3 linked regions of the Rattus norvegicus genome follow. The protein of the gene in region 3 interacts with the protein of the main gene of each other region in a biochemical or structural test. Links are inferred from orthologs where the notes say so. Each region holds a gene or a part of one and is shown on either strand. Other genes may lie near its edges.

The links.
Region 1: the proteins of Erbin (region 3) and Abca1 interact in a test that uses a peptide from one of them, tested with the Homo sapiens proteins (2 studies listed by BioGRID and IntAct). The link is inferred for Rattus norvegicus from reciprocal best matches to the Homo sapiens genes ERBIN and ABCA1.
Region 2: the proteins of Erbin (region 3) and Atp2b4 interact in a test that uses a peptide from one of them, tested with the Homo sapiens proteins (2 studies listed by BioGRID and IntAct). The link is inferred for Rattus norvegicus from reciprocal best matches to the Homo sapiens genes ERBIN and ATP2B4.

Annotation. Positions count from the first base shown.
Region 1 is NC_086023.1:72,519,860-72,523,504, reverse strand, and holds part of Abca1 (phospholipid-transporting ATPase ABCA1), read left to right. Parts: intron 1-1,067; coding exon 1,068-1,265; intron 1,266-1,943; coding exon 1,944-2,149; intron 2,150-2,695; coding exon 2,696-2,872; intron 2,873-3,315; coding exon 3,316-3,538; intron 3,539-3,645. UniProt on the Homo sapiens protein: Catalyzes the translocation of specific phospholipids from the cytoplasmic to the extracellular/lumenal leaflet of membrane coupled to the hydrolysis of ATP.
Region 2 is NC_086031.1:47,738,263-47,741,907, reverse strand, and holds part of Atp2b4 (plasma membrane calcium-transporting ATPase 4), read left to right. Parts: intron 1-862; coding exon 863-1,024; intron 1,025-3,645. UniProt on the Homo sapiens protein: Calcium/calmodulin-regulated and magnesium-dependent enzyme that catalyzes the hydrolysis of ATP coupled with the transport of calcium out of the cell. By regulating sperm cell calcium homeostasis, may play a role in sperm motility.
Region 3 is NC_086020.1:36,759,256-36,763,488, reverse strand, and holds the start of Erbin (Erbb2 interacting protein), read left to right. Parts: upstream 1-1,335; 5' UTR 1,336-2,104; exon of another isoform or gene 2,105-2,654; intron 2,655-4,233. UniProt on the Homo sapiens protein: Acts as an adapter for the receptor ERBB2, in epithelia. By binding the unphosphorylated 'Tyr-1248' of receptor ERBB2, it may contribute to stabilize this unphosphorylated state.

The sequences.
Region 1 (3,645 bases), on a different chromosome or scaffold from region 3:
CCCTCATGGAAAGCGCTTTGAAATGGGAGTTTCGAAACCCACTTAGAATGAATGTGTCCTTTGTTGTACCTTTGCTTCACACACATCCCCGGGGATGCGTCCTACATCATGGGAGAGAAAACGTTATTACTGAAATAATTGTTATTGTAAGTAATTGGAAATAGACTAGATGCTATGCAGTGCAGGAGTAGTTAATGAAATTGTGGTAGACGCACTCTGTGAAATCATTATGTTACCATTAAAACAGCAAAGAGGAAGCCACCTAGGGGGAAAGCTTGCAAGGTTGGTGAAGAGAAGACGGATGAAGGAGGTGTGGGTTTCAGGCTTTTGGAGATCCTGCTCAGTAGAGCAAGGGCCTCCCCCTCCCCCTGGAAACTGGGAAGTGAGCATGGTGGCTGTGTTTCCATTCTGCCCAGTCAGCAGTGGGCTCGCTTTCTCAGCAGTGCATTTGTGAAGACTTTTACCCCAGTCCCCCTGGACTGGTTGGTTGAGGGACAGAATGGCTTACCCTTTTCACATTGATGGGTGATGGGAAACAGGTCTTCTTTTCTTCGTATCATCCCCGTGTCCTGGAGTTAGGAAGACCATCTTATATTTGGATTAACCAGCAGTGTTACCTCCCTGAACTAAGCATTAAAAGTGGGCTCGGTCTAGAGACAGGGGCTTTATTTGGCACCATCAAAGAGAGGCGGGTGCCGTGCAGTGGGTGTGCTGGAATCAACGCCCACTTTCCTGCTCCTGAGCTACCTTAACGTCCCGGAAGTTCCATTTTCCTGTTCGTGAGAGGGGCAGTACCAAAGCCACACTCTGATGGAGTTGTGTAAGTTCTGATGCCTATAGATCCCTCAGCACCCTACTATTGCTCTTGTTAGAGTTGAAACAGTTAACGTGAGCTGTCTGGTGCAGTGGGAAGCCTGTGAACTTCAAAGTCAGCGGTCTGACTTTGTGTCTCAGCTCATCCCTTAGCCTTGGTCAACATCAATCATGTCAGACTCCAATCTTGGTCAAATGTGCTCGTTACCACGAACCTGATGATCAGTGTTCACATTTCCTTCCTGGAATGGCAGACGATGTTGGACAGCAGAGGCAATGACCAGTTTTGGGAACGAAAGTTGGATGGATTAGATTGGACTGCCCAAGACATCATGGCATTTCTGGCCAAGAACCCAGAGGATGTTCAGTCCCCAAATGGCTCTGTGTATACATGGAGAGAAGCTTTCAATGAGACCAACCAGGCAATCCAGACGATATCTCGATTCATGGAGGTGAGGGTCTGCTGTGCACACCTTTTAGCAAAGTCTGGGGCCTTTTTTCCTTTGAGCTGTTGCAATAGTTATAGGCAGAAGGAGAGCTTAGAACGAATGTGTAGTGTCACGTACAGCTATATTCTGCAGGCCTGGCGAGCAAGATAAACACTAGATGAATGGCTTAACGAGCGAATAAGCTTACGTCTAGCTTTGGTTCAGATCGACCCCAGTGTTTCTATCCTTATCTTCTAGCTTTCCCTCTGTTTTGATATTCTAGATCCTAATGATAAACTGCTCTATTATAAAGGCATTATTTATGAAACTTATCTAATCTAATTTGGGACAGATAAAACTTTAAATCTTTAATCCTAAAAATGATGGAAAGAGAAAAGGCTGAGTAGAATCTTTTCTTATCTGATTTCTAGTTGCTTAGTCGCGGTGACTTGACTTTGCTAAGACATGTTGCTAAGAGAATAAAAATTGTTAAAGAGAGTCATTCCCTCACACAAAGCAGTATAAGTAACTTTCAGTGTTCCACTCAAATCTCAGTTCTAAGCTTGGCTGAAACCTGGAAGACTACGTTAGAGACGGTACAGATTAAGAATACAGGCGGCTAGTTCCTGCCTCTCAAAGGAGGCTGAGTACTGCTTGTCTTTCTGGTTGCCAGTTCTAATGAGGTTTCCTTCTGTCTGTCAGTGTGTCAACCTGAACAAGCTGGAGCCCATCCCAACAGAAGTCAGGCTCATCAACAAGTCCATGGAGCTGCTGGATGAGAGGAAGTTCTGGGCTGGTATCGTGTTCACAGGAATCACTCCTGATAGTGTGGAGCTGCCCCACCATGTAAAGTACAAGATCCGGATGGACATTGACAATGTTGAGAGAACCAATAAGATCAAGGATGGGTAAGGTGAAACGCAGTCTTGCAAAGCTCAAGAACGTAATTTGGATGACTTTTATGACTGGTGGTTCTTTATTGAGGAATGTCAACAACAAATCAGCCACGGCATGACTTTGGTAAAACTCCATTGCTGAGGACTGTTATACAAAGGCTATAAAATATTAGTCTTTCTGTTTCCATGTTCCTGTTCAAAAGACTAAGCTAAAGGACTTAAAAGTCAGGAGAAAGAAAGGAAAGCCATTAGGTCTCCTTGCTAGCCATACATATTTTTATAAGAAGAGGCAGACAGCTTGTAAGGGAATTCCAGTATGTCCAGCAGATGCAGTGTTAGTCACTAGTAAAGTGAAAAGAAAAAATATACCCATAAGGAGTATGGATATATATAAGGAGTGTCCATTGTGACTATTTCTAACCAAGAATCTATGTACTTGTCAACTGTGATAAGAATGGGAGATAGAAAATAGGAAGAGTGGCCAAGGAAGTGTGGGGGAATTGGATTTTTCAGGGTGTGCTTTGTAGGACTGTTTCGTCACCTGAGGTTTGGTTTCAGGTACTGGGACCCTGGTCCCCGGGCTGACCCTTTTGAAGATATGCGCTATGTCTGGGGTGGCTTCGCCTACTTGCAGGATGTGGTGGAGCAGGCGATCATCAGAGTGCTGACGGGGACTGAGAAGAAAACGGGCGTCTATGTGCAACAGATGCCCTACCCCTGTTATGTTGATGACATGTGAGTGTACCAACAAGCCGACATCTTCATTAGATGACCAGGTCCTTGTAGAGAGTGTGTGTTATAGGCATGTCCTACACGGTATGAGAGGGAAAACAAGTCAATAGGAGATCCTAGAGACACTGACCTTTAGAGAAAGACCAGGTTGGGTTCTGCTCCTACCCTTTGTGTTAGTACTTAGTAAAGTAATTTACCTTTATCTTAACATTACCCTAACCATTTCCTAGTTATTAAAGTGAGTCCCTAAAGAAAATTTGCATGGCTATACTTTGAAGCCCAGGTTCGAATCTCTGTCTACCTCTAACGAAACATCTGTCCCTTTGAGAGTTCAATGGGCCTTTCTTGAGCAACCCTGATGTGGTTTTTCCTTCAGTGTGCAAGGTCTTGGATCAGTGCCGGGTTTACTGTTTCCTCTTTCTCATACCTTTTTTCCGTGCCTCCAGTTTTCTGCGGGTCATGAGCCGCTCAATGCCCCTCTTCATGACTCTGGCCTGGATCTACTCTGTGGCTGTGATCATCAAGAGCATTGTGTATGAGAAGGAGGCTCGGTTGAAGGAGACCATGCGCATCATGGGCCTGGACAATGGCATCCTCTGGTTTAGCTGGTTCATTAGTAGTCTCATCCCTCTGCTCGTGAGCGCTGGCCTGTTGGTGATCATCTTGAAGGTAAGGTGGGCTCACTCACTCTCCTTGACAAGGAATTCTTGACAAGCCTAATAATGTAGCCAAGGGGTAAAGGGATTTCTGTGTCATGTGTGTTTCCCTCCATTCCC
Region 2 (3,645 bases), on a different chromosome or scaffold from region 3:
AAGAGACCAGCTCCTAAGCAAACAGTGACATTGGGGGTACGGGATGAGGAGCAGCCGCAGGAAGTAGTCCCGAGACAGCTCCCAAAGTTGTTTTTTTTTTTCCCGGTACACACATCGTAGCACTCTTTAGTACTCTTCAGAAACAGTCACCCTATGGGAGCACCAGGGCTCCAGGAGAAAGAACTTGAATTTCAGGTCTCTTTATTCTTCTTCTGAAGGGGAAATCCTGGGTTTGACATGCCGGTGCGTCTCTGCTTTGCCTTACTCTGTCTTTAGAGGAGCTTCTTTTCTTGCCCCCGACAGAATACTCAATTCAGGGCTTGCTCTGCACCACCTTCATTCACTTGTCCTTCTTATATAAGAAACTGAAAAATAACTTTGAACTTAGGAGGGCTGGGGTGGGTGTCTGTTTCTTCCCCGACTGGGGGAAGAGGGGCTTTTTAACCGAATAGGCTAGGACCTTCTCTCCTAGAAACATTGGCTAGAGCTTCCTTTTGGTCGCTTTCTACAGTAAACATTCAGTGCTTTAAGCTCTGGATTCCAGAGAGGACACTCACTAAGGGGATGGATGGCCTCAGTGGTGTGACTAATCCCCTTGTTGCTATAAACCTGTGCCTGTGGCTCTGAGGGGCGCCAGGAAGTTGTTGTAAAGAGGAAATCCAGACCTGAAAAGCATCTTCCGCCTCATCTCCAGTTGTTAGGCATGTCCCTAGTGGAGTGCTGTGTCTGGCAAGGGCAAGGAGCACTCAGGAGCCTTAGGATCACTACAGGAAGAGGACAGAAGGACATCTTGCCTTCCGCCTGCCTGCTGTTCACTGCTCTGTCCTTGACTGCTCACTTCCTCTGTTCCTGTCTACCCTAGCAAAAACCCAGGATGGAGTGGCCTTGGAAATCCAGCCACTCAACAGCCAGGAGGGGCTCGATAGTGAGGAAAAGGAGAAGAAAGCAAGCAAGGGACCCAAGAAGGAGAAGTCGGTCCTGCAGGGCAAGCTCACACGCCTGGCTGTGCAGATCGGGAAGGCAGGTGAGTAGCTAAGCCCGCCTCCCATTGCAGATGTGAAGTGCTGTCCCGTGTGTTGGCTGCTGCAGCCTCCATCCCACCACATCAAGCAGGACTGGCACTTGGGTGGCTCCTGAGCTCTAGGGAGCTGCATCTATGGACACCTGGTGGGCTTTGAAGGAAAGAGATTTCCTCCAGTGTAGAAAGGTTAATAGCCCTGAGGTCTCTTTCATCCAAATACTGGGGAGTGGGGGTGTCATGTAACAGGAAGGCAGCCTTAAGAACTTTCACCTGTCCTGGAATCCCCCCACCCCCAGAGTTTGCTTTTAGGCAGTTCCCTGCTTGGTTGTAGAATCTTGTGACCCAGCATGGAGCAATAAATACACAGTAAAGATTGCAGTAAAGAAGAGTGGTTAATGTATTCTGCTCTACTCACAAGAAGGGTCTTATACCTAATGACAAGTGGCTTCCCCATCGCCCACCCCTACACCTCCCTACCACCCTCTGGTCAAGGGGAGCAGCGGGGAGAGGTAGCAGAGGGTGGTTCCTTTGTGCCCCTTGAGGTATGGTCTGTCAATGAGTATTCTGTGACCTCACACTTCTGCTTACCACTCAAACATGCTTCTCTGGGTACAGTTCTCCAGATGTCCTTGCTGAAATGTATACTACCTTCAGAAAGTCTATGGCAGGGCCTAAGAGTCTCCAAGGATCTGAGATGGACACAACAGTAGCCACCGTCTACAGCCTGCTCCTGAGTAACCACATATGTCCAGTAGCTGTCTTACTGGACTGCACCAAGTCAGAGCATTTTGAGTATCACAGAAAGTTCTGGAAGGAGTGTATTGACCTAGCCAACTCATTTCAGTCCAGTACTTAGCTTATCCTGACTACCTTGAAATCCTATGTATAGACCCTCTGTGGACGAGCTGTGGATACAAAGGCCAGTTGTTGAGACACGTACCCAGGTCAGGAACAAATAGATCCTCCGAGCCCAAGTCTTCTCCTCACCCCTGCCTCAGTATTCCTTGGAGATAAGAATATCAAGCAAGGCTAGGGTGGCATAAGCAAGATGCCTTGCAACTAAGAGAGAGAGAGAGAGAGAGAGAGAGAGAGAGAGAGAGAGAGAGAGAGAGAGATTCCCTATGCTTCCTTACACTAGTCCTAGCCTTAATCAAATCAAACCCAAACTAATCTTCTTTCATTGATTTTACCACCACCATCCATGCCCTTGCTGTGAGGCCCCGGAAGCATCAGGGCCACACTGTGGCTTCAATATGACTGTTCTCCAAATGTTGTACATATCAATCCTTAACCCTCAAACATGTAAGGTGACAAGCTATCCCACATGGTTGAAACATTCCGTTTTCTCACTGAAACTCCCAGAAATTGTTGTCTTTAGCAAACCAGGACGGCTGCCCTGCCAGTGAAGCTTCACTGACCCCTAGCTTTCTCTATAGTAGCTGTCTCCTAGGGCTGTAGAGGCTTGGCTGTGAAGGCCTGGCTGGCCTGTGGCAGGCCCTGTGTAAGCCCTTGATTCATTGTCCTCTTTATGCCGTGCTGTGATAGGAGGAGTCATGTAGGTGACATATGCTAGCACTGTGGGAACACCCCTGTAACCAGGATGTGGAACTTTCACCTGGAGGAGAGAAAGTCAAAGTTGTAAGCTCCAAAGTGGGCAGACGCAGTCGCTGCTCAGTAAACTATGGAATGCAGTCATAAAATGTAGGCTACCTTGTTAACAGAACAGATGTACTAATAAAGCAGTGGCAGTCGGTCCACATGTAGCCGACACACAAACCCCTTTAGACATTGCAGTTTATAAGAAGAAAGGGCCTCAGGATCATGACCCAGTTAAAAAAAGGAGCATCAGGTCCAATCTCTGAACAAATTTCAAAACAAAGGAAAAAAAAATTGGAGGATTACGGCAGGAAGTTTCACATTGAGTGATTTAATGTTCAATGTAGTGTGCGTGATAAAGAGTGCTCAAGTCTCTGCAGCCTGCTTCTTAGTTCTCTGCAAGCAGTGGGCTGGGCCCAGTTCTCTGAATGGAGGTGCAACCCAATCTCTTCAGGCTTTGGGATCTGGACATTTAAAAGTAAGAATCCTCTTTAAGAGGAAGCCCACGGCCTAGCTTACTCTACTCCCCTTTTATTGTTTGGTCAGGTTTTAGGGGTCTGGGAGGTAGGGGGATAATTTGTTTGTTTTTGACACAAGGGCTCCCTTCTAGATCAAGCTGGCCTGAACGTATAGTCTTCCTGCCTCTGCCTCTCAAGTGCTGAAATTACAGGTATACGCAACGGTAACCCAGCAAACCCTCTTATTTATGAATGAAGAAGTTAAATTAGCAGCCCAACCCACAGAGGTTTACAACTAACACAAGGGTATGAGTCAGATTGGTGACGTGTTAAGAACAGAATCTTTATCTTTGGAACTCTGCGTTTAGAGATTTTGTTTTGTAGAAAAAAAAAACAAACAAAAAACAAAAACAATGGGGCTGGAGAGATGGCTCAGCAGTTAAGAGCACCCGACTACTCTTCCAGAGGTCCTGAGTTCAATTCCCAGCAACCACATGGTGGCTCACAACCATCTGTAAAGAGATCCGATGCCCTCTTCTGGTGTGTCTGAGGACAGCTACAGTGTACTTA
Region 3 (4,233 bases):
GTTTTCAGAGGCCTGATACCACTGTCCTCTGTGCTAAGAATCTTATGTTCGTGTTAATACTAGCAGTTTTGGGGGTAGCTAAAATGCTTCCACTTCGATTCAAAATGACTTGAATATCTTTGGAGTTATTCCAAGTATTCGTCTCTGGCGTAGAACTCACTTTAGTAAATAATTCTTTGGTGGACTTCGTGAACTCATTCCCTTGGATGCAAGCCAAAACTCATCTGTAAGGCATATAGCTTTTTATTCAAAGTTGGTGATGAATAATTATCTCTGGGCTACAGACGGAAGTACTGAACCAGTGGCTTGAAGGACCCAGAGGCTAATTACCATCCCTGTGCATAGTTAATACAGAAGAGTGGGGGTGGACGATGGTTTGCCCAGAATCTATTCCATTCCCTCGGGTAAAACAAGGATGTTCTGTCTGCTAACATACTTAAAGCAGTAACTGTAAAAACGGCAATGTTATGGTTGAAGCTTTCTAAGCCATATGTGTTGACAGAATGCTTAAGTCTCTCTCTGCAATAAACGCAAACCCTGCCAGGCAGAACTACCAGGGCCAGCGCGACTGAACGACTGCACGCCCGAAAGCGTAGGGGCTGGAAGGCTGCGCAGCGCTCGGAGTGCATCCAATGTTTCCTCTAACAAAGGCACCGTCTTGAGGCAATTTCGCGGGCCCCGCTCCCCTTCCCAGCACCAGCTTTGTCTCCTCGGAGGGGCCCCAGGCGCGTCGCCGCTTCCAGCAAGCTCGGAGGCCGGCCCGGCGTGGAAAGAAGCTGCACGGAGCCGCGGCCGTGGTTTCCTGCAACCTGAGCGTGCCATTAGAGGATGTCGGAGTGCTGCGGCTGAAAGAGATACCTGCTGCCTGGAAATCGGGGCTGCACTTGAACAACCTCTTTGCACCAATTACGATCGTACAAAGAAACTCGATCGGCCGGGGCGGCGGAGGCCTCGCGGGGTCGTACGGGGGAGCTCGGCGGGCCCGGCCTCGGGGGGCGGGCCTCCCGTCGCGCGCCTCCCAGCCAGCCCGCGGCCCCCGGCCCGCGCCCCCCGCCGCCGACGTCGGGCGCGTAGACCCCGTGCGCGCTGACTGGCTCGCGCCGGCCTTCGCCCGGCTGTGGGCGGTTGGGGCGCCCCCGCGGGAGGCCGCCCCGCCCCCGCCGCCGCCGCCGCCCCCGCCGCCGCCGCCGCCGCCGCCGCGCGCAGCCTCGGCCCCCTAGCCGCCGGGGCGGTGGCGCTGTTGCCGCCGCGGCCTGTGAGGCAGAAACTCCCTCCACCCCGGTCCGGCCCGGGTCCGCCTCCTCCTTTCTCTCCTCCGCCTCGCCTCCCCTCTCCGTCTCCCGCTCGAGTGAAGGTGGCGCGGCGGCGCGCGACGCAGCCTCGGCCCCTGGCGCGGGCCCGCGAGCTCCTGAGGAGACCGCGCCACCGCGGCTGCGGGGAAGGAGAACCGGGGAGAGCGCAGGGACTGCGGCGGGGAGACTGGAGGGTTAGAGCGGGAGTGGCAGAGACCGGGCCGGCCGGTCGGACTGCCCGACCGACGGTCGCCTTCCAGCCTGCGCGGCCGGTCGGCTCCGGCTCGGGGCGGCGGGGGCCGGACGGGCGCAGGGTGCGGCCGGCGCACTCGAGACAATACCCGCGCGGCGCGGCTGTGGGGGCGGAGGCCTAGTGCGGCCCAGGCCAGCGGAGCTCCGCGTCCTCGCCCCCGTGGGCCGCGCAAGGTCCCGCGGCTCGGGGCGGGCGCCGTCCCCTCCCCCTCGGCGGCGCGCCGCCCCGGGGTTCCGGGTTCCCGGGCACCGAGCTGGATCCTGCTTTTCACCCAGGCAGGAAGTGAGTTTCGCACGGCAATTCCGGGCGGTGTCACGAGTGAAAAGTTTTTTCCTTCGGCGGAGAACCTAGACGAGGCTGGGAAACTCCTGACAGAAGTCGCAAGCAGGAAGCCAGCCCGCACCCCAGCCCCCACCGAAGCAGCCGCGCTGCTGCGGGCGGCAGCTCCACATCCGCCTAGTCCTCGCGGGAGCCTCGGCGGGGCCCGGAGCCACTGAGGAAGGGCAGGAAACCATGTCAAGCCGAGCCTCGGGACGGCTGCCCTGAGACACCCGGAGAGGTAATTTTTTTTTTACGGGAAGCGTCCAGCCAAGTTCGTGGGCCGGAAGCGACGGTACTTTAGTCTACCTCGCTCTGCCCGAGTTGTCTGACTTCTTTCTCCCTGGTCGGAATGCCTTGTCGTTTTAGCAACTGAATAGTAAAACTGATTTACCCCCTTGCCCCGTCTACCGTCTGGATTCCTTTCTTTTTAAGATGGGGTTGTAAGAATGTGGTGGGACGAAAAGTTTTTCAGCCGTCGGAAGAAAGAGTTCCTTTGTTGAGCATAAGGGCCAGAAGTTTTAGTGTTCCGGGACGTATACAATGTATATCAAGTTGCTGAGTCTGGCAACTTTTGTTTCGGAAGAAAGTTAAGTCTCGCTGCGGGGAGAGACTGATTCGCTCTCACTGAGATGGCTGCCACATTTGTTTATGTTGGTGTGGATTGTTTTGGTTTTCGCGTTAATCCTACATGGAGGTCGTTTTAAGGCACGTCTTTTTCTTTGGACTTAAGAAACTGCCTGCCTGCCATTCTCGATTGCTTTTTCTGGACGGCCAAGGAACTACTTGTAGTAAGTCATGCCTTCTTTTCAGTCCGTAGCTTACAGTGCTTGTTTGGTTACCTGATTGAGGACGAGCAGCTGCTAAATTTTTCTTGAAACTGGCGTTCTAGGAAGCAGAATGTCGTAAAGAGTATGGATAGAGACGGAGAAGGATATGGCTACCAAACCAAAACAAAACCCAAACACCTGCAAGAAGTTGATTAGTCAGGACTTGTATGCCGTTCCGATTAGGAACAACATTGGAAGGGAAGAGAAATAAAATCCTTAAGATTTTCAGGAGAGTCACATTGTGCGAAAAAGTGGCGCTGTTTTGCAGATGTATGGTCCTCATATTTTTTCGTGTTGGCCCATCTGGTTTTGTTTGGTTCTGCCTAATAAGTGATAGGTACAGACTGTGCGGGCAGGAATTCGTGAAGCATGGCAGACATTCCACCAGTCAGACTTAGGAACGCTTCTGAACCAATGAAACCTTCTTTATGGGTAAAACTAGTTTTGGTTGCAGTCTACCCTACTGTCTTTTCCCTTAGTAGTGCTTCAATTGTGTGCCTTTGTAAGTGTAGTTTGTTTGCTTCCCCTCTTCCCCCCAAGTGCTTTTGTGGTAAGGGAAGTGACAGATAATACTGTGTTTTAAATAAATATTAACTATAGGTAGATGTAGCTTAAGCTTAAATTGATGTTTAATCAGATATTACCAAAATAATTACCAGAAACTTGAGGGGAAAGAGTTGACTTCCTTTAGTTGAAAGAGGAAAGATAGGTTTTATAGATCAGGATCAAGTGAGTTCACAACTTGTTCTTGGCTATTTGGCTTTTATTAAGTACATTTCAAAAAGAGAATTGTTTCCAGTATTTATGTTGTTGTGTTATTAGGGCCTGGTCTCTGGAGTTTTTGTTTTCATTTTTATTTTATTGGTGAGATTTGTGAACCATCAAGTTATTCCTGTTAAAAGTCAGACTGCTTTATGAAGGAGTTTAAAGTGCATAACTGGTGAACTTTATGATTTGGGGACATATAATTAGGCAGCGAAAGAGGTTATTCTTGAGCACATGAAAGAGGGGAACAAAATAAATGACATTGAACTTCGCTTTCCTTTTATGGCTTCTACTTGGCTTCAGCCTCAGAGCCTTAATAGAGCAAGTCTTTTAGAGAATGAACACTTTGCAAAGATGTTTTTGTGTCATTCTGTTTTGTATAAAGTATCATGTCACTTGAAAATGCCTACTTAACACACCCACCCTTTAAAGAAGTAGGTTATTTTTGAAAGAGTAGTATGTTTAGCTTTTTGACATGTTGAAAATGTGAGGTTCCACCTTTGTGAACCTTTGATTCCCCCTTTTTCCTCAACAAGGCATTTATTTTGCAGTTAAAGTTGGGTAAATTTAGCATCAAATTAGCTTAGTGAGTTTTAGGTTTTATACTATTTTCAAGTCAAATATTTTTTGGAGTCTTGTTTAAAATGCAGCAACGGTCTGAAAAGAGATTTCTTATTTAAAAGACAGTGATTTGAAGTCTTTTTGAATGGCCTTAAAATTTATGTATTTTCAGCATTGTGTGAGGGAAAGCCTTCCTCCCAACTCCCGATTAAAT